Oryzias latipes: one gene and its partners. The protein of the gene in region 3 interacts with the protein of the main gene of each other region in a pairwise test. Links are inferred from orthologs where the notes say so. Each region holds a gene or a part of one and is shown on either strand. Other genes may lie near its edges.

What was found.
Region 1: the proteins of lmo2 (region 3) and hnrnpm interact in binary tests that used the Homo sapiens proteins (3 or more experiments, as listed by UniProt). The link is inferred for Oryzias latipes from reciprocal best matches to the Homo sapiens genes LMO2 and HNRNPM.
Region 2: the proteins of lmo2 (region 3) and signal transducer and activator of transcription 1-alpha/beta interact in a two-hybrid assay, tested with the Homo sapiens proteins (2 studies listed by BioGRID and IntAct). The two-hybrid records come from large-scale screens. The link is inferred for Oryzias latipes from reciprocal best matches to the Homo sapiens genes LMO2 and STAT1.
Region 4: the proteins of lmo2 (region 3) and tal2 interact in a two-hybrid assay, tested with the Homo sapiens proteins (2 studies listed by BioGRID and IntAct). The link is inferred for Oryzias latipes from reciprocal best matches to the Homo sapiens genes LMO2 and TAL2.
Region 5: the proteins of lmo2 (region 3) and ift43 interact in binary tests that used the Homo sapiens proteins (3 or more experiments, as listed by UniProt). The two-hybrid records come from large-scale screens. The link is inferred for Oryzias latipes from reciprocal best matches to the Homo sapiens genes LMO2 and IFT43.
Region 6: the proteins of lmo2 (region 3) and prkg1 interact in binary tests that used the Homo sapiens proteins (3 or more experiments, as listed by UniProt). The two-hybrid records come from large-scale screens. The link is inferred for Oryzias latipes from reciprocal best matches to the Homo sapiens genes LMO2 and PRKG1.
Region 7: the proteins of lmo2 (region 3) and thrombospondin type-1 domain-containing protein 4 interact in binary tests that used the Homo sapiens proteins (3 or more experiments, as listed by UniProt). The two-hybrid records come from large-scale screens. The link is inferred for Oryzias latipes from reciprocal best matches to the Homo sapiens genes LMO2 and ADAMTSL4.

Annotation. Positions count from the first base shown.
Region 1 is NC_019862.2:8,453,058-8,457,157, forward strand, and holds the start of hnrnpm (heterogeneous nuclear ribonucleoprotein M), read right to left. Parts: upstream 2,801-4,100; 5' UTR 2,671-2,800; coding exon 2,600-2,670; intron 1,973-2,599; coding exon 1,791-1,972; intron 445-1,790; coding exon 392-444; intron 1-391. UniProt on the Homo sapiens protein: Pre-mRNA binding protein in vivo, binds avidly to poly(G) and poly(U) RNA homopolymers in vitro. Involved in splicing.
Region 2 is NC_019860.2:3,984,223-3,987,722, forward strand, and holds part of signal transducer and activator of transcription 1-alpha/beta, read right to left. Parts: coding exon 3,478-3,500; intron 1,982-3,477; coding exon 1,793-1,981; intron 1,718-1,792; coding exon 1,642-1,717; intron 1,564-1,641; coding exon 1,467-1,563; intron 1,021-1,466; coding exon 982-1,020; intron 1-981. UniProt on the Homo sapiens protein: Signal transducer and transcription activator that mediates cellular responses to interferons (IFNs), cytokine KITLG/SCF and other cytokines and other growth factors.
Region 3 is NC_019864.2:14,855,688-14,859,739, forward strand, and holds the start of lmo2 (rhombotin-2), read right to left. Parts: upstream 2,801-4,052; 5' UTR 2,335-2,800; coding exon 2,294-2,334; intron 972-2,293; coding exon 756-971; intron 578-755; coding exon 352-577; 3' UTR 1-351. UniProt on the Homo sapiens protein: Acts with TAL1/SCL to regulate red blood cell development. Also acts with LDB1 to maintain erythroid precursors in an immature state.
Region 4 is NC_019867.2:1,963,492-1,966,750, forward strand, and holds tal2 (T-cell acute lymphocytic leukemia protein 2), read right to left. Parts: upstream 2,044-3,259; 5' UTR 1,953-2,043; exon of another isoform or gene 1,755-1,952; 5' UTR 1,680-1,754; exon of another isoform or gene 1,645-1,679; intron 1,526-1,644; exon of another isoform or gene 1,352-1,525; 5' UTR 1,348-1,351; coding exon 1,009-1,347; 3' UTR 501-1,008; downstream 1-500.
Region 5 is NC_019880.2:13,343,686-13,346,185, reverse strand, and holds the end of ift43 (intraflagellar transport protein 43 homolog), read right to left. Parts: intron 2,153-2,500; coding exon 2,080-2,152; intron 1,392-2,079; coding exon 1,316-1,391; intron 1,208-1,315; coding exon 1,145-1,207; intron 881-1,144; coding exon 779-880; 3' UTR 501-778; downstream 1-500. UniProt on the Homo sapiens protein: As a component of IFT complex A (IFT-A), a complex required for retrograde ciliary transport and entry into cilia of G protein-coupled receptors (GPCRs), it is involved in ciliogenesis.
Region 6 is NC_019873.2:20,229,321-20,232,820, reverse strand, and holds part of prkg1 (cGMP-dependent protein kinase 1), read right to left. Parts: intron 2,539-3,500; coding exon 2,461-2,538; intron 1,297-2,460; coding exon 1,202-1,296; intron 1-1,201. UniProt on the Homo sapiens protein: Serine/threonine protein kinase that acts as a key mediator of the nitric oxide (NO)/cGMP signaling pathway. GMP binding activates PRKG1, which phosphorylates serines and threonines on many cellular proteins.
Region 7 is NC_019874.2:19,008,227-19,012,201, forward strand, and holds the start of thrombospondin type-1 domain-containing protein 4, read left to right. Parts: upstream 1-1,175; 5' UTR 1,176-1,465; coding exon 1,466-1,488; intron 1,489-2,750; coding exon 2,751-2,814; intron 2,815-3,975. UniProt on the Homo sapiens protein: Positive regulation of apoptosis. May facilitate FBN1 microfibril biogenesis.

The DNA of each region.
Region 1 (4,100 bases), on a different chromosome or scaffold from region 3:
TGGTACTGGAGCAGTAACATTCCAGTTATACAAAAGGCATTATGCTTAACAACCATCTAGCAACTTTATAACAACCTCTTCCAGATTAAAACCCTTAAGGTCACAAGGAGCATATCCAGGAACCAGTAGGGACATTGTCAACTTCTGCAACCCACAGGACTGAATTCGAGAAAAGCTCAAGTCAGTTTTCAAGAGTATCAACCCTTGAGGTTTGCATCAAGTCAGTGCCACGATTAAGACCGAGTAAAACACTTCCAACATGTCTCCAACTGACAAAAATCAACCAAGTTTCTATCTGAACAATTCCCGGGAATGTAAACAAGGAAACCAAAACTGACAAACAAGAGTTTGTCTGGGCTTGTATATTTTATTTGTATGTATTTGCACTTACCCTCGATTTGCCTTCTGCGTCCATTAAGTGTTCCACGTACGTTACCTCACCCACTACAAATCAGATTCCAGAGACGACACACACCAAGGGGAGAGAAGCCGAGAGAACAATGGGGGTTTAGAGCAGAAACAAGGAGGACGGCCGGTGACTGAGCTCAGACTGCAAGTCCTGAGCTTCCCCCAGCACCTCAGCAACACAATTTGGTACAGGTCTACAAAAAGCAAGCTTGGTTCTTTAAAGAAAACAACTTAAAACTTCTTAGTCTGTCCTTTTCACCCGCTGTAGTTCTACCAAGACACCAAAAAACAATAGACTGTGGACACCAACTGCTAAATTGGCCAACTGTTTCGATATGCTACCTTGACAACCACCTAATACATGAAGAAAATTGACAAAAATCGTGATGAACAAAGCCTCCACCCATTTCATTGCAAACCTGAGCATACTTTAACTGGCAGCGCCATGTTTTTGACCCCCAAAATGGACAATATTCTTGATAGCAAGCCCTGCGGAAAAGGACCATTCTTTTAACTACAAGCTATAAATGACCTACTAAAGCAAAGATAAGAGTAAATAAAGTCTGAATTTTAGTTCAGCATCTACCACAGCCACACTTTTTTGGGGATCGCTTGTATTTATAGGACATTGGCAAGAGTCACCAAACCTCTGAGGAGAAGGACAGTACAAAAGAAGTTGCTTTATTTTGTAGACCTGTACCCCAAAAATCATCCACAGCACAAAGCTGTGTTTGCCACAACATGGGGATCTGATGAGTAACATTTGCTTGTCCAAGTCACACCTAAAAAAAGAGAATGCAATTTACTCTACAAACAATTATCAATAAACAAGTTAAAAGCGCTTGGTCAACACGAGGATTGCTTCACTTCGTTGGATTATCGATGACACCAATGATGATCCAGCACTCCTTTGACTACAGGCAACAACTCTTTTATAAACAGATTTAAAGTCATCTTTTCACAATTCAAAGTTGCTGCCGAGCAGGACATTTAAAAGGTCACATCTCTCAAAAACGGTGCATTTTTAAGCTTTACTGGTCGTTACAGGTTGCAATTCATAGAAAAATAAGTCCTTGTTGATCAAATCCAGATTTTCACACTAGTGGCCTCGTTCTCCACAAAAAACCTGATTAAAGAATGGTCAGAATGGGTTGCATGTTCAATTGAACATCCTGATTCACCACCTTTGTACAATTCTGCAGCAACACCTGAGTTGGTGGACAAGAGGCATAATCCTGAACCTTTGTTCCGAGTAACTCACCAAATTCTCAAAACACTGTTTTCCCAATCCTTCAAAGCTGCAGCATCCAAACACTAAAATCGTGGATGCTTACCCTAACTTATGAGCTGGCATGAGCCAGCACCCCATCTGAAAACCTTACCTTTCTCTTTCATCAGGTCTTTAAGGGTTTGCCATTTCACATCATAGGGAATGTTGCTGACAACCACACGGTATCGTTTGTTTATGTTGCCGTAGGGTTCATATCGGCCTCCTCCGCCCCTCTTCTGGGGTCTCTCCTTCCTGCTTTGGTTGGAGTCAGAATTGGCTTTTCCATTCATTTCTCTAAATTAGAAAAGTTAATAGTCAAAAAACCTTTTTTTACACACATTGCTAAGTGAATAAAACATATTAAACAATAAGTGTTTAAATTACAATACATTAGTAACTATTTTAGGCATTATTCGTCTTTCTTCAACATAATAGCAGGGTAAAAAGATGCAAAAACAAGGCTAGTCTTCGGTGCATGATCATCATCATCATGGAGCGTGGATTGCTAACAGCCGTTATAATATTTTATTTATACCAAAACTTCTACATAGTTTTATAGTTTAAAAAACAACTTAAAGCACGCAAATGCAAACTTTTCAAATGTGCTTGTTAATATATTTAAGTACTGGAACTTGTAACGGCTTGAAAGGCTGCGCTTCAACCACATGGTTAGGCCGCGAGCCAGTCTCAAAGTAAAGTGGGCCCTACTCCTCCCCCGTTCTAACAAAAGCTTCGCAGCAACACAAAAACACGCGTTTAAATAAATGTATATGAAATAACCGACTGTAGCATGTGTTTTATTTTATGCAGTATCCGATCTTTGGCCAGTCGTTTGCATGGGTTATTAAGACGGAGTACCATTTCTGCTAACGACGTTAGTCGGTCTTGCTAGCTTCTTACAACAAAGGCATTCGGGCTCACCCCTGCTGCTGCTCCTGCTGCTGCTCCTGGCTCGCATTCTCGATCGTGATTTCGGCCTGCTCGTTAGACATTTTCACTGGGAAAAGTGTGCCTTACCAAAAACAATTACGCAGCAAACTGCTTTTAGAATCGAACAACAGAAACGATTCCCTAGTCGCTGTGCTGAAAATGGCGGACGACTGCCCTACTATAAAAAAAATCTTCTTCTTCTTCTCATGGTTTAAATGGCGGGAGGCACCAACAACAAGGTGCATTACCGCCACCTACCGTATTGGAGTATGGATCGGCGTGGGGGACTACCTAACTTTAAAAAATAAATAAATAAACAAAACTATATTCTCCTCAATTATCTGGTTCTGCTCAAAAAACCTATAATGCACCATTTAAATTTTCCTCCCCTCCCAAAAGCTTCTTCAAACTCAGCCGTTCACCCTCTGGCAACCGGACTCTTCTCCAGCTTTCTTCTTTCTTCCCCATTCAATTCACAATGACACAAAACGTGCTCCACTGATTCTTCCCCTTTCCTGCAATCACACAAACCAGTTGGATTTCCCCCTATCAGATGTAATGTATTATTTAGAGCAGTGTGTGCTATCCTCAATTGTGATATTATGCCGTGATCTCTGGTGTTTACTCTGATATTCATACCTTTCCCTACTTTGTCTTGAATACTGAATAGATGTCGACCTTTCCTCTCCGTTTCCCATTGTACCTGCCATTCTTCCAAAATACGCCTCCTAATAATCGCCCTAATCTCCGTTCTGCCTAAAGGAATTTCCATCTCTGTCGCCCGTTTCAACGCCCATTTTGCCAGAAAATCAGCCATTTAATTTCCCTCCAACCCCCTATGTGCTGGTACCCACTTAAATCTGATGCTTATCTTCAATTCTTCCAACCTGAATAAACTCTCATAAATCTTATACATTCGATCTGACCTTCTATCGGAAGAAAAATATTTCAAGGACATCAATGCTGATAATGAGTCTGAACAAATGATACCATCTCTAATTCTATTCTGTTCTAACCAGTGTAAACTAAATGATATTGCAAACATTTCAACTGCAAAAACTGAAAGATCCTTTGATGTTTTGATTCCAACATATTTCCCCGATGTAAGGATACAGAAAGAAAAACCAGTCCTCTTTGTTTCTGGGTCTTTAGATCCATGTGTATATGGGAATAAATGAGGCATGTAACGTGTCTAAACTGTCTGCTGGGATTTCATCCCAGTGTCCCTTCCATTTGCTACTCTCCATCTACCCGTGGAGATAAAAATCCACTTGCACGGTTGGAAAACCCCAGAAAGGAGTGGCCTGGTACAAAAACGTCTTTACTATGGTTTTACCATGAATCTTTGTTTCTCTCACTAATCTAGCTAATTTCCAAGCAACACTTTTGTTTTTCCCAATACCACTTTCCCAACAGGGAACAATGGCTTTCATAACCATGTGCTCTTCAACTGCACAACCCTGTATGTTCACCCAATAATGAAGTAGCAGTT
Region 2 (3,500 bases), on a different chromosome or scaffold from region 3:
TTCGCTAATGTTTTGTCCAAAATAAAATATTTGTATCTAGTTTAGCACTTAGCTTTAAATCTCGTAATTTTAGCATTTTAACTCTGCCGACAGCAAAATAACACGTTCTATGAACTACTGCAACCATTTACACAATTATCGTAATTCCAATGGATAAAAAGAGGCTTTATGCTGATATGCGACATAAAGAAATAAACGTCTGCATAAACAACGCAAAACATTTTCCGCGTCAGAATTAGCTGGTTTACGGTAATTGCGTAAAGGCTACAATACTGTAAAATGCCGCATATCAGCGCCAGGTACGGTAGTTCAAAGAACGTCAAGGCTAGAGTAACATCTGACCCTAAACGACACCTAAACGAACTATGATAACGTTTTTGACTGTTTACACAAATAACGTAATTACGATGGATTCACGAAGAGGGAAGCGACTTTCTGTTACTTTACGTTGGTCAAGTGTTGCGCAAAGCCGTTGTTCTCTTCATTAATATTAATATATTTTCACCCTCAATTCTAGCATTTACCCATAATCTGGAGCCTTTAATCTGTTCTTATGTTTATCTTCTTTTTAAAGATTGAATATTTTTTGTATTACTAACAGGTATTTTTTGTCTAAATACTCATTTTTATTGCGTTTCATTTTTAGCGCAGGCCATGCTAGCAAGGAGACAGATCAGGGTTGCTTTAGGTCTGCAACAGATATTTTTTTACATTAATACAGGAATATTGTTTTTTTTTCTTTATTTCAGGCAGCTTCAACTTAACGTTGGTTATTGCTTTGGAAATTCCTAGAACAGCTACAGAAATTGAGCCCATCCTCTCATTTCTGATCAGATGGATAAATCAACAAACTAGCAAATATTGTGCGTCATGCATTAATGCCGTGCATTGACTAAACTAGAGAGGCATGCTAATAAATAAAGGAGTGCAAGGAGTCTGACAGTTAGTACAAGGAGTGAACCATCAACTCTGGGGGTGTACCTGAGCGTCAAACCCTCCAAAGTCCATCAGATTGTTGGTCTGAGAGCGCGACAAGGAGAGAAAGACAGAAAGTTTGCAGTTGAACAGACTAAGAATCATTAAAAAAAACGTGATTTTCTTAACACTTTTTTCATCTTTCTTCCTCTTTTAGTCCATATTTTCAAATACTAAACAGTACTTTATCTGCAAATCTTAAAATGCTATTTATACTGGTGACTTTTTAGCAAATTGGGGTCCCTTTTTCTATGGGAAAGAATTTGTGTTTTAAGTTTTTTTTGTTTTGTTTGGACAGTGATTTTTTTAAACCACAAAATGCTATTTTCCTACAGTGTTCATCAAACGTTAAAAGCTTTTATTTTGAAAATCCATTGACGTGAAAGGAGAAATTTCTGCACTTTTGAAGCAGTTTAGGGATGAAAATAATAATAATGTGGTGGGTTTATCGTTCTTACTGTGAACAGAACTGGATGTGTATCTTGTCTTACCACAGCATCGATGTCTCTGTGGCCCACAAACTGCTCCAGTGCCTTGTAGTCGTCCGGAGACATGGGCATGATGTTGTCTTGCAGCCTGGACGGCGGTCTGAACCAGGTGGAGGAAGCGGTTTGTTAGAAGCACGTGTGTCAGTAACTTCTGAAGGCGTTTGCAGTCGGCGCTTACACTTCTGAAACGGATATGAGCTCTGTCTTCATGTAGCCACTGGGCTGCGAGCTCTCCACGTCCATGGGCTCTTGAGCTAAAAGAGGAAGGGACAGACGTGAAAGTCTGCGCTCAGAAATGAGGGCGCGACGGATCCGCTAGCGTGTCTTACGCTCTGGGGGTTTGGGGTAGTATTTCCCAAAAGCCTTGTCTTTGGGGATGGCGGGGTAGAGGAAGCGCAGCGGGTTCTCTGGAATGTTCTCGGCCGCCATCACCTTGTAGGTGCGAATGATGTCGGGCAGCGAAACAGCAGTCAGCTCCTTCTTGGTGTACGGCTCAACGGAGTGGAAAATCGGCTTGTCTGGAGGGACGGAAGAAAACGGATAAACTAAAGAATCGCCTGATTCCACCTTAACTTGTAGGTGTTTGGGCCAGAATTTCATGTAAAACTCAAAAGTGGGGATCCATCATGCTTATATCAATGTTTTAGGCTGGTGGTGGTGGTATAATGATGTGGGAGGTGTTTTCAAATGCAGGTGACTTGAGAACCTTCTTGGATGTTATTTACTAAACAATGTGTTACTTTAGCTCGGTCTCTTTACACATCCATATTGTTCAGCACCTGCGATTCAACCTGCAACTTGTAGGGTATTAGCATAGGTAACAGCACGCCTGCTAACACAGGCTAACCACTAATTGTAACAAACATAAATAAAGAACCTTAAAACCTCTTTACCCTCATCGTGTTTAAATATTCAAATAAAGTCTACGTGGGATAGTGTTAAAAAAAAAAAACTTTGCTAAAACTTAAAAAACTTATAACAGAAAAGTTAATGATGCTATATTTTCATCAAGCTAAAAAAAATACAGAAGAATTTTTTTTCAAAAAAGCTGTAAAATGCTCAAGAACAATTGATGCTACAGATTAGCCAAATGCTAAATTAGCTTAACCTGTTTTAAAAAAACCTGCCTTTTAGGCTAAACATAATCTTTAAGAAGTTTGACTAAAAAAAAACAATAAAAAATACTAAAAAATGTATGCATCTATCTATCTATCTATCTATCTATCTATCTATGCCTTTATTTTATTTTATTTTCATGTAAAGTGTGTCTTTATTTTAATGTGAATTATTAAAGTAGTGTACATCTCTCTCTCTATCAGAAAGAAACCACAGCTAACATAGACTAACAGCTAATCGGGGAAAAAGCAATAAAGAAAATATTAAATTCTAATTTAACTCATTAATGGTATAAAAAGTCATGTAAATTGTGTATAGTGGCAACATTTAAATCCTAAACAGTAGTAAAAATGTCACGTGAAAGCTGAATGCTAACCTAGCTTGAAATATTTCAACATAATAAAAATAAAAATCTGACAAAAAATAAAAAAGACTAATAATAGAAAAGCTAATTATGCTATTTTATCATTAAGCCAAAATAAAGTTTAAATACCTCAAATAAGAAATGTTACATTTCTGTAGCTTAAAGAAAGCTAATTCATTTTGAACAAAGCTAGCTATGCTAAATGAAATGCTACTTCCAAAAACAACCACTACAGCTAGAAAATGTGTTTGTTTGGTTTTTCTTTTGCCTCTTGACTGCAAAACATTTAATCTGATAAGTGAACTGATTACTGTATGTCAAAAATTAAAAACATGAATGTTTTTCTTGTTAAAGAAATCCTGTCAGGGTCAAAGAATGCTAAAGTTGCTAGCGGTCAACACATATTTGACAGATTGAAGCTTCGTTCACTTGTTTGGAAACGGGAGAATGAAAATGAAGGCTAAAACTCCTTAAACCTGCAGCCTGTCTCATCTTGCTGGTGGTCGCGTGAGGTTCTGTGACTGCGGCGCTCACCGTGGATGTCGTGCTCGATCCAG
Region 3 (4,052 bases):
ATTACAACCCAGTTTCTAATTAAAGTTTTGAATCCACTTGTAGATATGAAGGCCTGACAAAAACAACTTACAACCTTAAAACAAAGTTTGTTTTGTTTTTTCTACAAAGTTCAAAACTATTCTTTGCATATTTAAGAATTTTTCGTACTTAAAACGTTTTTTGCATTTGGGAATATTTTCGTATTGCTGGTGTTGTTATTTCCACAGGATGGTGCAACACTACATTGTGTTCATTGTAGTCCCGATGTGTTGGTCGATAAAACCCATACGGGCTGCAAAAAGGGATTCTGTTCAGAGCCCACGCGATATTGGTTTGTTCCATCCCATCCTGAAAAGCAGTCAGAGATTCTGCTACACCATATTGCTGTTGTTGAGCTTAGTCCACTCGAAGATGTCCTGCTCACAGACAATGTCCGAGTTGATGAGAAGGTAGCGATCACCCACACAGAAGTGCTTCTGGCAGGCGGCGCATTTGAAACACTCCAGATGGTAGACCTTGTCTCGCACACGCATAGTCATCTCAAACGCCCGGATCCTCTTTTCACAGGAAGCACACAGACCGTCCTGACCAAACAGCCTGAGTGGAGCATGATCGATAAGGAAGACAATGTTACAAGAAGACATTCCAGCATCTCCATTCAACTGACTCACCAGAATAAAAGACAGTGCTCCCCTAATATCCCATTAGATCTGCATACTTCTTATAAATTGTTCAAATAAGGGAATAAACAGATAATCATTGACATCAGACCAACCTCAGATAATCCCGTCGACATAGTTTTCTTCCCAACTTGTAGTAGAGGCGACGGCCCACCTCTCCGAGACGACAGCCGCACAGGTCGCAGCTCAGGCAGTCCTCGTGCCAGTATTGCTCGATGGCTTTCAGGAAGAACCTGTCCCCGATGTTCTGCTGACAACCTCCACATGTCAGCAGGGAGGGGGGCATTTGCAGGACTTCGTCCACCGGCTCCCTGATATAAATGAAAAGAAGATTAAAAACAACTGGATTGAACTTTCATCATCTATGAATTCCCTGAAGATCGATCATAGTCTTCATTTATTGTAATTTAATTTGATTTTCCTCTTAGCTCAAAAAAAACAAACACATTTTATCCAATTGATACAATTTTCTTTTGAAAGTAACATATTCTATAAAATGTCATTATTAGTGCCCCGATAAATTCTATCTTTATCAACTGATTTGCAAAGGTTTATGCTACTATTTATGTTTTTGTCTTGTAGCTTGGAGCTGCAAGGTTGGAGAAGGAGCATATTTCAGATTAAAATACTAAATTAATACATTTGGAAAGTGTATACAATACAATTTGTTTTTTTGTACTGTTACAAGATTGTTTGCTCCCCTTTCTCACACTACAAACTATGGGATACTTATAGATACTTGATTGTAAACCTTGGTTTTAGACTTTCAAGATATTTTAACTGGTTGGAAATTGTTTTTATTTGTCTTTTGCTCTACACCTTTCCAAGATTTTCTTAAAATCTGTACAGTGGAAAACATTCCTATGTCTCATTAGGAACTAGTATGTAGAAATAAGGAAATTATTAATAAATTGAGTCAAAATCATTTTGCTCCAAATCTTAACAGAATAAAAACTTAATATATGACTCAAATGCACTGAAATTGTTGTGTTTTATGGTTCAGTTAGGATGTTATTTTTTAGTTTATTAAATGTAGACTGCCATTTATTGTCATTAAATTTCAAAACAAACATTTAGATTTATGTTCTAAGTAAATGTGCTAGATCGTATTCTGGTTTTGTTCACATTTTGTTCTAAAATAAGTCATTTCCATTTATTACACTCGTTTTTTTGGCACTGCAATTAAGATGAACTGCAATTAGTTTAAAAAAAATACAAACCATTTGCCTCAAACTATGACAAAAAATACTTATTGGGCTTTAAAACAATCAGTTTTCAGTAATTCTCTCTAATAGTTAGATTTTTTAACCCATTTTTCCCCCTTTTAGAATGCTACTGTGGAACTTCTTGTTTCAAGATTTTATTTTATTATGTTTTTTGCTATAAGATTTCTTAAGTAAAACTAACGTTCTGCATAGTTAATTGTACTGCTGTCTAGTGTGTTTTTTCCTGAAGATTAGTTTTTTTACTAAGCCTTTTGCATATTCCAGACCTTCTGTTTGTGGAATCTAACTGCAGAGGTTGCTTTCCTAAAATAACGTGCCGTTTGGTTGCTTTCTAAATTGTGATGACAATGTCCTTGAAAGCCTTAAGGAACCCTGAGCTTCATTCTTTGGAAAAGGAAAGCACATACTCGCTGGCCTCCAGCGTCTTCCTCTCTATGGTGGATACCATTCTTCTCCAGATGCGCTGCGCCTCAGCTCCGGGGTTCGGACTCCACAGCCTCTAGTCTCTCTGCGGCGTCCCGGGAAGCTCCTGCGCAGCCGCTGCACCTGCCTCTACCGGCGCCCAGATCCCCCCTGCACGACCTGATTCAGGAAGATGACTTCAGTCGAGATGTTCGCGGAGGAATAACCAAAAAGGCCGATTGTTCTAGTCAGCAGAGCGGCGATGGAGGACGCTGTCATCATTTCCTGGGGCTGACGCGCGCGCTGGCACCTCCACGCCATCCAGGACACCGCGGATTCGCTCACAGGCCAGGGGGGGTTAGACTGGAGCTGCCTTAAACGTGCGGATGACCCCCCACCCCATTCTGTGACTGACTGCTCTTTTTCCTGTTCACGACTGCCTGACAATGGGGGGAAATCGGTCTTAAAGCGACAGAAGTTCGCGCCGGCTGCTCTGTCAGGCGTGGAGCGGAGTCGTGACCGACACTGACGTGAGGGGAAATTCTCTCCCCCTGAGGCGCTGATGGAGCAAAGATAACCAACGTCGTGATGTCAGCAGACAAGTGTCCTGGCCCGCAGCTCCATCATCATGTAGAGAAAGTTATTAGGACAGAACAGAGAGCTGGATCCAAAACGAAAAACAGTTCAATAGAAAGTAAATAGTGAAAAAACCCAACAAACAGTTTGAACTGTTTATTAAAATGTTTAATATATAATGTGTGAAATGGGGGGGGGGGGGGGTGACAATTCATAATATATTTTCATTCAATTTAGTATAAAATGTGGATTAAAGGTGTAATTTGCTATATAGAATCAGATGTTTACATGTGTCATATTTTATCTCAAAACCATATTTTTTCTGAACTTTATTTTTTGCTTTATCGGAATTATCCCCTATTCGGTTAATGTTGTGTTAAATAAATGTGGCATCATTACTGTACAGAATTGGAAAAACAGGAGAACAAGATCTTGCTGCAGAGAAGCTGATCTACAGAGCCCTGGTTATGACATTAAAGAAAAAACAATTGCCAGACCATCTGAGTTACTTTACTATATTATATTTTTGATTAAGTGAGGGTAACATAAAGATGAAAATAAATTTATCAGAACTGTAACTACCCTTTTGGGGGGGAACAGTGGTTAGTGCTCTTGGTTGCAGCAAGAAGGGCCCCCAGTTCAAGTCCCGGCTGGGGGACCTGAAACAGAACACCAATGGGGGACCTTTCTGTGTGGAGTTTGCATGTTTTTCCCATGCATGCGTGGGTTTTCTCTCCGGACTCCGGCTTCCTCCCACATCATAAACATTTCATTGGTTACTCTAAATTGCCCCTAGGTGTGAGTGTGTGATTGAGGCCCTGCAACTGACTGGCGACCTGTCCAGGATTTATATTTATATTTATTTATATTTATTTATTTAATAAAGGCCAGCGCATATAAAGATGTCCCCTGCCTTTGCCCACAAGTGGCCGGGATAGGCTCCGGCAGCCCCGTGACCCCGAAAGAGACACACAAAAAAAAACACCCCAGAAAAAGCTAACTTTTTATTACTACTATTAACTTGATCTCTTTCACTACAAGAGGTTGTGAAAGACTAAGAGCATTTGACAAATGTCAAAGCATTTGACATTTAGCTTTCCTAGGAACTGTTGAAAAACATATAAGCAAACATGTGAGTCCACAGAAAAACATCACTGCTAAACTAATTTAACAGACTAACGGAGACTA
Region 4 (3,259 bases), on a different chromosome or scaffold from region 3:
GCAGAACTCGTGTGGTCATGTTAGCATTTTACGTTCGTGGTTTTTTTTTGGGTTCTGTCCTTTTCTCAGCTGTTCTGCAAGTTCTGACACAGGGGTCGTGACCTCTGACCCACGTGGAATCCCAGTTCATCCACAAAGCAAAACAAGTGGAACGCTATATTCGTTTCCACATTTTCTGTCATTATATAAAATATAAAGTTAAATCTACATCACCTAATGAAAGTGCAGGGATCCTTCTCATTAGATCTTTTTTCTACCATAAAATACCAGAAGTTATTTTAATTTTTTGTGTAATTAGATATAATTTGACATGAATGAATTTTAGAAATCATTTGAGAAAGTGTTGGGATTTTATTTTCCACACATCAGATCATTTTTGTGCCTCAAAACTTAAGATTTTGTTTGTCATCAGCAGGAGAAGCTTCCTTTTTTGCATCCCAAAGGAAAAAATAAACATTTTTATACATTTTGGTTTCTAAATGACAGCAGTGACAAAGCTGGAAAAAGTCATAACGAATCCTTTATTAAATAAATAGTTGAAATAAATAAGACTATTTGTCAACGAGCCAAACTTACAAGCAGGTCAGAGAAGACGCTTCAGACGGAGGACAATCAGTTCAGGATCTTTGGTCGTGTGACAAAACCCTTAAAGTGGTTTGATGGAGGAGGACCGCCGGGTCCCCGGCTCCTTAACAAGGAGCAGGGAGACGTCCGGAGTGAAATGACCTTCATCTTTGAGGAGGAGGAGGAGGTCAGATTTAGTTAGTTTGGGGAGAAGAGAAGTGCTGCTGTAACGGAGGGAAAAGGAGGAAGATCCGCCGTGGTTTGAGTGCAGGACTGGATGAAATCCTTCATTTTTCTCTCAGAACTCTGCCTCGTGGAAAAGCGGAATCCCTTCAGGCGTGACAGAAAACGTATGGCAGTAGGTTCCCTCTGGCCTCATGGGTTCGGGTCTGGTTCTGCCCGGCTCGGGTCCATAATCTGTGTTTTCCTCCAGCATCCAGACCTCTACCAGGCCTCGGAGCTGTCGCAGCTGGATCCGGGCGACGGGGCTTCGGTGTCGCTGGCGACGGTCCAGCGGGGCGGGGGGGAGCGCAGCTGCTCCATGTTTCCTCTGAGGAAGGTGAGCAGAGCTGTGGGGGAGCGGCCGTCCGGCTGGCCGCCCTGGCTCTCCAGCAGCCGCACCAGGAAGTTGATGTAGCGCATGGCCAGGCGCAGGATCTCGTTCTTGCTCAGCTTCTTCTCGGGAGGATGGGTGGGGATGAGCTTCCGGAGCTCCGCGAAGGCCGTGTTGACGTTGTGCTGGCGCCAGCGCTCCCTGGTGTTGGTGAACACCTTCCTGGTCATGGCGCTGAGCACAGACACGGAGGCAAAACGCAGATTTTTTTAGAAACGTGGTTTAAAATGACTGTTTCACTGCAACTCTGTGCTTCATACGTGATCTAATCTGCTTCAAAACCTTCAGATTCCTTCATCCAAACGAACATTTTGGAAACATTTGATGCACATTTTATTCCTACTGGAGGTTTGTGAGGATCTTAACATCTAAAACTGCAGGAAATGTTTACCGTGAAAAGTTCAGGATGTTGGAATGATGCTGATGACAGATAAAGGAATGCGTTTCTCTACTTTTCTGAATCAAAGGTGAACCTGAAGAAGCAGAAGGAAGGAGTGCTCACCTGCTCAGAGGAAGAACGGCGTGAAGAGTGAACGAGGGTCCTGCAGGAGTGTCCTCTCAGATGCACGTCCTCCTCCTAATGAGGGGCAGGACGGGGACACAAAGGGACGGAGTGAGGGTGAGGAGGCTTCTGCCCCACATTTTATAGCAGGCTGCGCTCCATTGTGTGACGTCGCCTCCCCTCTTTGTGCCGTTTGGTGCAGAGCACAGCCCAGTTTGATCGCCGGGGACCAGAAACACACCGAGAGGTGTGATGATGAAAGGCGCTTCGTACCGGCTGCTGATTTAGGATTCATTGGTGGTTTAAATCCCCGAGGTGAAACTGAGACGTTAGTCTGTGACGGCGGTGGACCCTCCTGCCTCTTTGACGTTCGGCGTGGACCTTCTCCAGGAAAACACCTTCATGTCCCAGCAGCTCCGCCTGATTGGACCACAAAAGGTAAAAATGCCACATCCAGACTGACAGTCCCACAATGCGCGTTTTGTCAGGACTATGGTAATCTTGTTGAACCATTTCAAGGGGCCACACATAAATCCCCCCCCCCCCCCCAACACCACTTTAAAGCTCAGATAAAAACAGGAGTCTGGTTTAACCAATCGTCAGTGGTCTTTTTACGGCCTTCAAGTGTTGTTTCAAAGACGCAGCCTTCTGTAAAAAAAAAAAAAGTCTCTGTGTGGAGTAGGAATTTACATAATCCGATTAGGGGCCAGGATTAGCCCCGGGTCTGGAGAACAGGGCCCGATGGGGGCCGGGTTTCTGAATCCGTCCATTTATCAGCCCCACTGCGCGTCCAAGAGGCTGCACCTGCGGGCCGGCCACGCCGCGCTCCGCCTCCAGACGGGACGCCGCTGCACTTTTCCAGCCTCAACAACTTTGACACAAACTATCGATTTCTAATATTTCACTTATTCGTTCCGCTTTTGTCCCCTTCAGTTGATAACATGCATTATTTCCCAGCTCTTTCCTTTCAAACTGAGTTTTTTTGGCTTTATTTTATTTACCCCCTTTGGTCGCAGGGCCCCAGATTTACTTAGTGTGGTAACAGAACCCAAAATGTGGCGTCCGTGTACGTAGGTCTGAAGAGGTTAATTATCAACACATGCCAACGTTTTTCAGATAATCCCTAATAATTTAATCCGTTTTCACTTCTTCTGCAGATATTTTCTCCTGTTTGTTTTGTTTTTAATCATAGAAACACAAAATATAAAAAAGTCTGATATTCCTGTAAATATTTATGAAGATAAACTAAATTGTAGGAGGGGGGGGGGTACATGTTTGTTCAGAAATAAGAGTTTTTTTTAAGGGAATTAAGATTAAAACAGAATCAAATGAGTTTTTAACCATGAGTGTATGTTTCTGCATATGTTTGTGTGTAGTTTTATGTTTCTAAATAAAATGTGTTCTCATTAGAGAAGAATAGAAAAGGCAGTGGGGGGAGAAATAGTTTCTTACAGACTGAAACCCAGCGAGAGCTAAAAATGTCCACTTCAGCCTTTAGAAACGTTCACTTTGTTCCCACTACGCCTTTTCTTTAATAAAGTGTAGCTTTTAAAAACTTATATTTAAATTGTAACGGTTCC
Region 5 (2,500 bases), on a different chromosome or scaffold from region 3:
TGATTGAGCTGTTGGATGCGTACATTGTGTCCTTGAGGGCTTCGCTGTGCATCTCCAAATGCCACCAGACTGATCTCTGCCACTGAAATAAACTTAATCACACATCTGTAAATGTTACAACCATTTCCTCATAGACCTTCCTGGACTTTGGAGGTCCGCATTTATATTCAGACGCATGAACCAAAGACAAGATTGAATGTTGATACATGCAATCAGCACGCCTGAAGCACGACATGCAACATATTTAACAAACCACAAATGACTGAAGGGAATTAGAGCAAACGCAGTCTGCACTCTGTGCTTCAACAGGCCTGTGTAGAATTTGCTCGCTACTTTGAGAAAGATTTCACATTCTCTTGATTCAGTAAAAAAAGTATAATGTATGTTAATCCCTCAGGTGTCAATCGGAACTCTGTTCAATGCATTTGAGATAATAGTGAAGAAGGGGCTGTTCCTGTCGAAGAGCTGCAAGATAAAGTCAATGGCAGAGTCAATAACAATAAGGTTGTAGGCTTTAATGAGGAATGTTAATTTAAACACAATCAAGTGGATTTCAGCTTAGCTGATTATCAACCTTGGACTTGTATGTTGCTGTTGATAATGTTGTCGGTACAGAGAGGGCATGTTTATCTGTGACTGCTATTTTTAACAAACAATTCAAAACCTTGTGGGTTTATATACAAAAAAAGTTAGGCAACAAAACTGTTTAAAGACATTTATAAAAATACAACTCTGTGTAAAGAAGTAGTAAAATAAACTTTAATTAAAGGATCCAAAGTCACTTCAAGCCTGGTTCGCTGCTCTCTCCTTGATCCCATTCAATCAGCAGCTCCGAGGACACCTCTGTAAACAGATGATCCCAGTCCCAGCTCACATCATCCTGAAGAGCAAGGAGGAACAGAACAGAGGCCGAGAGCAGGAGTGTAGGAAGCAGAGGGAAGCACACCAAGAAGGAAAAGCAGAGAGCAAGGAGAGGAGAATGGGGGTGGGGGGGAGCAGAGGTTGTTAATGTACACATCATAAATCTTGATTACCTGAGAGACAAGAGTGGCAGCCTCCACTGGTGCTTTCAGAACAGCTGGGCAGTTCTTTATGTGGAGCTCAGGAGCTATATTTACTAAAAAAGAAAAAAAAATATTCTCACCTCTTTCACCTCCTGCTCTGGGGCTAAAACCTTAGTGAGAAGCTTCAAGTCGATCTCTCCATCCTGAAGAAGGAGAGATGTAAAAAGTTCCTGATTTTCAGTAACTGATGAGCATCACAGAGCTGAAGAGGCCATCTTGAAAAATGAATGAACCCAAACGCCATGACTTACTAAAGTTTGGAAAGCAGAGTAATGCTTGAGATCGTTGTCCAGATCTCTGTAGGTCATCACCTGGCTCACGTGGATGCTGAGAGTACAAAGAAGTCAGAACAATGAAGAAAAGTAAGCCAGAAAAGAAGAGTACCAAAATAATTATGCCTTCACTTTATCTGATACAAATCTGAGAAATATCTTCAGATAAGTTTGAGGTTTCCTCTGAAATAAGCTTCAGGACTTCAAGCAAAGACCACAGAGAGAAAAAGATGGTTGCCAACTGTTAAACGCTTCAAATTGAAACCCAGCTGCTTATCAGTGGGTTGAAATTAAGTGGGGGGGGGGGCTCTGAAAGTGGCCGGGACCTAGCAGCGCATGCCAGTCCTACTTACTGCACATTATACGCTACATTGCCCCTGCAATGAGTTCAATGTGGATATTATCTCTCACAGAGAGCAAGCCCCAGCCTAATAACCTCCACCACTGTCATAGCCTTGCTACACTGTCGACACATGTCGCCGTGTCTCTCACTGCCCTGTAAATCAGAGGACCTGGGTAGTACGGGGCCTGGAAACGGAGTTGCATAAATCACATCAAACTGTTATTTCTCTATTTCAGACACATAAAGCAAGGCGCACTGCGACATCACAGTCCCCACAGCAGCCTGCTTATAAGTATCCCGGGCACGGTCAAGGGTTAACTGTCACCCGCCTGTCTGGGACGAACAGTTCATATTTATTTGAATCTAAAGTGGTTGGGGGGGGGGTGACTTTAAGGAGCACCTTGGTGGAACAGCAACCTGCATCGTCAGATCTTCCTCCTGCACTTCATCAAGGTCCGGAATCACAGGAATATCTAAAAACAGAAGCAATATGATTGTATCTGGAAAAGCGTCAAGAATAAAGTCAATGCTTATCAATGCATAAATAGTTATTGAAGCACACTGCTTATCCAGCGTGAGGCTGCTGGAGGTGTGTGGGTCTGCATGTCATCTACGCTGTGTGACACTTTCTTTTCTCTCACTGCCTCATAAGAGCTGACCTGTCACAATAGCCATGCGGCTATGAATATTCAGCAGGCCGGGCAGCAGCTCATCCTGCTGTGATGGGGGGTGGGGGGTGGGGTGCTGGCCAGGGGCTCCCCCAGAAAGCCCCCCCCCCACTACCTTAGCATTTGGGCCCTGTCAGCGCCACAACCCCCAGG
Region 6 (3,500 bases), on a different chromosome or scaffold from region 3:
AGGAGCTGCAAAGAAGCGGACAAATGGCATGAAAAGGAGGAAAATGTGTTTTTTTGGGTGCTCGTCTTTGATGCTGAAAGCAATTTAAAGATGACTTAATACTCTACAGATGATCCTAAAAATGCTTTGGAGCAGGTGTCCTAAATTACTGCATGTTGAAGCAATTTTGAAAGGAGCAGAGTCCAGATATTCAGAGCTCAAATGTTTTTAATTAGCTTTTTAATGCGTTTTGAACCTTCTCAGAAAACAATATAATGTTTTTTATTGAGGAAATCAAGTGGTTTACTGTATTGTGTCCTTCAGTGTCCAATAAGATGACTTTTCTTGTTTATTGTTTTTTTTTACTGAAGAAACAAAAGCAGACCAGCTTACCTACATGTTTAAGTTCTGTCGTCATGTTCTAAAACATCCAGAATTTGGTCATATTTCAGCTTTTTCTGATTTAGGGTCTGTTTTTCTAAAAACACATGCTTTTTATGAAAGGATAATTGAAAATCATGTTTAATTTTGCACACATTTAATCTAATTCTTCTGCAACGCCAGAAACATGCAGCATTTCATATAATTGTTTATGGAGGAAGGAGGCAAAAAATTAATTAAAGCAGCTGAGGATTAGGTTGAAAGGTTTTTTGCTCTCAAAGCTTTGGCATCCAAGAAATGAACTGAGAAGAAAAGACAAAAGACGTGTTTCACCAAATGAAATGAGGTTCCAATGGGTACACAAATGCAACATTTCTGTCACATTAAGTGACTTCTTGCCTCTAGTTTCTTGTCTGCTAGAAATAAATATAGGCAAAAACCACAGATGTTACTGTGGCTGTGAGGGATCACTATTGCCTTTTTTTTTAGTTTCTCATTAATTCTGTCTTTTGTTTTTCTCTCATGCAAAAGGGATTGACGCTAAACTCTTATAGTTGTTTGTACTAATGGGAATAAAAATACATGAGCATTCAGCTTCAAATTTATGGCATAATTTTTATTCTAACAAATCTATAGTGCAAGAACACTCAGTTAACCTCTTTTTAGTGCAGAAGTTTTGGTTTGACACACTTATGAACTCATTTAATAGTCAGCGTCACTTACCAAATGTTATATGGCTCCCTACTTAGTAGTTTGAAGTAGAAGATATTTAACAGAATAGGTAAATATACTAAATTGAAATTCATAGGATCGGAAGCGTAGGTATTTCAAGAGATCTCACCCTTGCAGTGCTTTCTCTCCAAACCAGTCTCCCTTCCCAAGGCTGCGGAGGTAGACAGGCTCTCCATTTGGCAAGTCTTCTCTGGTCACATTAACCTGAAAAGAAAAGGGCAATGCGGGTGGAAAGTTAAAGAAAAGACAAGCGTGGCTTCGAGAGGATGAGGTAAAAACAGAGTGAATTGAATTGCACACAGAGGTGGCAGACATTCCTGAGCAGAGTCTGTTACAAACAGATAAGAGTCATTACTGTGCAGGACCTGAGCAAACGCTTGACCACTTCATTAGGGAGATTACACGCGAGTGACGGCCCTCTGCTGTGCCCCAAGACTCTACAAATCAAAGGAATGACACTTGAGCATATTTTCGAAGAAGTGGATGAGATTACCCCTTCGCCCAATGAAGGATCTTGTCTTAAGCCATTAGGTGTAGCAGGAAGTCCACCGCCAGCATACAAAAATGACACGCAGCTGAGTGACAACAAAATTAACAGCGATTCTGTACGATCAAGTAACAGCAGGGGAAAAAAAACATAAAAAATAAAAAAGGAAGATTTGCTGCAGAGTAAATCTACTACTGAAGTAGGCAACATCGGTAAAGTCCGGACATTCATGTCTCAGTCCAGGTATTTATGAGCTAATCTGTTTGCTCTGGGCTATGAAGTGACCTGAGTCAAAGGATTTGACAGCTTGTGAATTTTTTTTCTGTTTGGATTTAAAAATAAGTTGAAGTTTTTTTTTTTTTCCCTCCACACTTCCAATGTTAGTTTCCCACAACTTCTGCCTTTTGAGGCTCAGAGGGACTACCAGCAGAAAGAACAGCTGTTTGTCGTCGATAAGCATGTCCCTATAAAATGAAAAATGAAAAATACGTTCTTGCTTGATGTGCGGGGTGGAAAAAAAATTGCTGAATTCAAGAAAAGCTAGAAGAAAGAAAGAATACTGGCAACCATCGTGGTGTGAAATACATGTGAAAGCCCACAGGCGGTGATGTGACTTCTAGACAGTACTGTGCTCAGTGAAAAAGCCAGTGTTGATTACTGAAAAGGAAAATCAAAGTGACACCATTCTGCTTTCTAGAAACTCCCACTGCTGCTGTAAGGAATGATGAAAGAGGATGTGCTTCTCCTCTATCGCTCGGTGATTGATGACAGCTAAAAATGCCACCTCTTTGCTTTTAAAGACAGGCATTTTCATGTGACACGATGCCTTGCCTTCCGATGAGGATTATATCGAGGTTGCAGCCTCACGGGGCTGTCCTCACCTTTCCTTTGCTGATAATGAAGAAGGTGTCTCCTCTGGCTCCCTGTCTGATGATGTACTCTCCTCCTGCATAGTGCGTCTGGCAGAAAAAAAAAAAAGGGGGGGGGGGGGGCAAGACCAAAGAAGGGAAATGTTATTTATGCTCATTGTGGTTGTTTTACCCTTTTTCTCACCTAGCATGTAAGGCAGTGTCTAAACACTTTTATGAGGGGAGTTAAGATGATCTAGACTAGAGCAATGCAATACAGCATAACTAGACTCGTTGTCTGGTTGAAAGCTGTGTTGCTGCTTTCCGCCCACTGCTTGCTTTGGTATGCACTGCAACCTTTTAATGTGAGGAATCAGGTACAAAATAAATAAATAAACGAATGTTTTTGCATCTACTATAAAAGGAAAAAGAGAGGTCAGTCGCAAGAATACATAAACAGAGGATATCCATCCATAAATGTGTTTTTTACACCCACAGCACTTCTGCTAAGGGTTGAGGGCAGTGGAATGTAACACAGCATGCAACGGGCTCTTGACTCATCATTCAAGCACAGGAATGACATACAAACTAATGGAAACTGAATGCACCTGCTTTTTAGTCAGAACCACCACTTTAAGCAGTTTTTTAACGATGAACCAAGCTAAAGGGTAAATGTTTTGATGGATAAAGAGACTAAACATGTCAGATGTGACATCTTATAATGCAATGATCAAAATAAACTGTGGAAAAGAAAGAGGCAAGTGGCTCAGTGTGTTTAAGAAACAATCATGAGGTTCACAAAGTATCGTGTCAGTTTGGGTTTTCCAGCAAAAAGCTTTCAATTTGATCCTCCTGCATGATAAAACTTACTTCAGACCGGAAACTAGATTTTCACAGAGGTTAACATTTGCCATTTCATTTATCACCTGAATTGAGGCAGGAAATGTGTTAAATGTAAACCGTACAGAAAGTAATTTGGTGACCGCTTAATCAAAGAATTTCTTTTTCGTGAATTGTGTGGTTCAAATGCCACATCACACTTTTTCTCCTAAGAATGTCACAGCACCATTAAT
Region 7 (3,975 bases), on a different chromosome or scaffold from region 3:
GTATTTATTATATGTTATGGTTACTGCCACCACACCTGATCTCTCCTCCAATTTAGGTCCTACGCCACCAATTCCTGAGGGGCTGTAAGCTAGCAGCACAGCGGGTAAACAAAGGGATGATGGGAAAGGAGGGCAGGCTTACTCTGCACCAACAGTGCCGCCCACAACTCAGAGGTGAATTTCTGAATGATTCCTGCTGCTTTGCAGAAACTATGTCCTAGAAAATGACACGTGTTTTTTTTTTTAAATTCAGCCTAAAACGGCCTAATCATGATTAAAAGACTAAGGAGACTTCAATATAAAATTAAGCATTTTGGAGTAATTTCTTAAAACATGTCATCTTTCAAATATTACATTGATGCCAGTCCTGATTTGAGTGAACAGTATAAACTCCATAAAGGCTTGTGTGCATCCTGAGCCTTTTCCTTCAAACTGAGTTACGTTTTATTGGTTTAGAAATCACCAGCCCTTTCTTGTACACGTGCCGCTGGAGAAATCTTGTAAAGAACCTATAATTTTTTCCTGTGTGTGTGTGTGTGTGTGTCACCATGTCTCCTGAGGGTCATTTGACCTAAGTTACTCATTTTAGTAAAGTGTCTGGCTGGGCAGGGCTGTGTGGATTGTCATTTCATCATGTTTAAATGAGATGGCATCAGATGGTTTTTCACATCTGTTTCAGCCCTCACACACACACATATGTAATCATACACACTCAGAGAGGCACATTTCAGCCTCAGAAGTGGCTTGTCTCCTGGGTGCACTTATCCCAAACACCAAATTGCTGAAGCATGTTTGGTTTCTGGTGTTTCAATGGGATTAAACAGTGCACAGAATGCATGTTTTTCTCATGTAAAAATATCTGCTTGTTTTTCAAGAATGGGGGGGGGGGGGACTATGAATCATATTCAAACTGTAAACCACATCATTTGAGCTTGTCAGAGTGTCAGACTCATGAGATAGTCCCTTCCCAACTTTCTTGAAGAAGGCTCAGGATCGTCTGCGCTCATTATTATTCAGTGTGGGAGAAAACGCACAAGGAAACGTTATTTTTTCTTTCTCGATTGTGCAACTAAAACGAGGCTCTGAGGATTATTATTGCTTAGTCAGGACCAACAGTTTGTGAGTATGACAGAGAGAGAGGGTAGGAAGGCGTGAGGGAGAGGAGGGGGAGTGTATAATTTGTGCATGTGAGAGTGAGAAGGAGCCCGAGCGAGAGTTGTATAATCTGTCCATTTTGTGTCTCCCCTCTCCCTGCGTCTCTTTGTGCCCCCACCTGGTTTTCATGCGTCACGGGAGTTTATAATAAGGAAGGACCTGTGAAAAGTTGTGGACTGAACGGAACACACGGAACTCCTCCCGGTGACAGAGCAGGAGCAGTCCTCGCATGTCTTTCAGGCTGGAACGAAGCTCAGATTTGGACCCAAAGCATCACTGAGAGTGTCAGTGTGCAGGAGAATTTTGGAGCATGCAGCTCGGTTCACTGATCAGGTAAAAGTCGGTCCCGTCCAGCTGCTGACTGATTCTTGTCGCCGCATGTGGATTTGCATCTTTCCTTGAGTGTTTGTGCTGACTGTCTCTACGGTGGTTTTGTTGGTGCGGGAAACTTTTACGCGCGAGGCTCACTTGTTGCGCGCCGCTCGCTGCGTTAAATGGTTGGAATTTACCCAGAGGCGCGCATTTTTGAGTAAAAACTGTGTGTTTCCACTCAAATTGGACTTTTCTGAAAGTATTTGTCAGTTAAAGGTTTCTCTCACCCTCTCCCTGTCCTCTCAGTGAGTTTACTCTGCAGTAGCGGCCGTGGAAACGTGGAACCGCGTAGGGGGTCGTTATTTCGGCCTGAGCAGCTCTGTTGTGTCGGGCTGTCCGGGACTTTTCTCTGTGTTTTTCGGGGGTAATTGTGTATTGCAGCGTGGGGAAGCTTCCAGAGACCGCGGCGGTGCACCACATTGGGTAAAACGAACCAATTACACTGCCTACATGTGGCTTGCGGACTGGAGATTGCGGTGATGGTTTGGTTCTCTTGGTGAGCGCTGCAAACTTTATCCCAGCGAGCCCGGCTGTACTTGCACGGTCAGAGCAATTTCTTGGCAGACTGCAGGACGTTATTCCACTTGTTTCCACTGCACTTGTCTCAGAATGTTTGTGTATGGGTGAGATTTTTCTAAATAGATCCGACATTCGCACACAAACAAGTGAGCTTTTGACACTTCTACAGAAAAAGAAAAAACTTAATTTTCTCTTAGAGTTATCCCAATTCCTGACCTCCCTGCAGGAAAACCGTCCTACCCCAGATTGTTTTCGATGTTGGCTCATTAAGCCTGTGTGTGGTTATTGCATATTAGTGTTAAAACCACATCCTCCGGGTGTGTGCAGAGGGAAAACACGCAAGTGCTTGTAAGCACTTCCAAGAGTTTCCCAGATTGATTGAGACGTTTGAACCCCGAGGTCATCGTGAGATTTGTCATCACTTTTCCCGACAAACACCTTTCCATTCAGGTGAAACAGGTTATTTAGTGAATGGAACATTCCTATACCTCAGCTAAATAATGTAAATTGAAGGAAAATATTTGAGACAGATCACATAGGCTTAGAATAATGAGAGTCTTATGTGTGAACGTGAATGGCTTCTAGCTGCACTTTTAGGTCATGGAGTACTGATGTGCTTTAGAAAAAGAACCCCATTCAGCTGCTGTCATTTTTAATCCTGTGATTCTGCCACTTCTCTCCCCCTCTGTTCTGCATCCCTCCAGGCTCTGTGTGCTGTTGGCTTCTGTGGAGGTCACAACCTCCACAACCAAAGCTGCCAAGAGGAAGGTGAGTCATTAGATCATCCAGTTAGGTCAACACATGACTGAAAAGTCAGGTTGACACCCCCCCCTCTCCCTTTCTGTGTGTCCCAAAGCATGAGACCAGAACAGAGAAAGTTAGAAATAACCTTTTTCTTATCGTTATCCTCTCCTGGAGACCAAATACTGTCATGCTTTGATGAGCTATTTAACCCGGTGACAGTAAATGTTACTGATTGCTCAAACAGGGATTAAGGCAAAATCATGCAAAGGGGCGTGCACTGCTGGAGGGTGTGTTATTTAAGTCGAAGCAACAGATAAAGTGATTTTAAGGCTTATCTGGCACCAAAATGTCGCGCACACACCAGCAGAAACTCTTTTACCTTAAAATATGCTGTCATGAGACAATCACCAGGTTCTGTTTTGGTTGAGTGGCAGAGACAAGACTTTGCCAAATGATGTAATGCTACGTAAAAGTCTAGTTGACCTTTTTTTAATCGCTGTAATCATTCATTGCTGGATCTCATTGTAGAGACGCTTAAATCCTTTTAAAGGCAAGAGGGTTTGAGAAGCCTTTTTTGCTCAGGAAAACAAAATATAAATTATACCATCATAGTTAAAATAATTAAAATTTAATCTAAAGCCATATTATTTAATCCATCACTCAAAAACAGTAGTGAAAGCTTCTTTTCCAATGAAAAGTTATGTGTCTGCTCATGTTAAAAGTCACCTTTTTTTTTAATAAATTGTGATGCGTGTGTTTATGGCAAAGTTCAAAGGACCTCCAGATTTATGAATACAATAAGTATCTTGTAAAAAGTTTTAGGAGCAGACCAAAATAGCACCTCAGTGGTGCTGCAGAAGTTAAAGTGGTGGCTGCAGAGGTTAGCAGTGGTTGCTGCAGGGTCACTGCTCACAGCTCATTAATGCTCCCAGTTATGTGGCAGCTGCAGGTTAGATGCCACCTGAGACATGGACTTGGACTTAAAAACTCGAACTTCAGTATCGCCTGCAGAAACTTGAGGCAGAAACAGATAAGCAAGTGGACAAAGTTTATCTGTTTTTTTTCCTCTTTTTTTTTTTAGCTCCAGGACATCAATGTCAGAAAAAATAAATGAAAACTGTCTTTACACAGCGTTTGCACACCACTGGCTGTTATTGTGTCCCCACAAGTTGTTTAAAGTAGTTT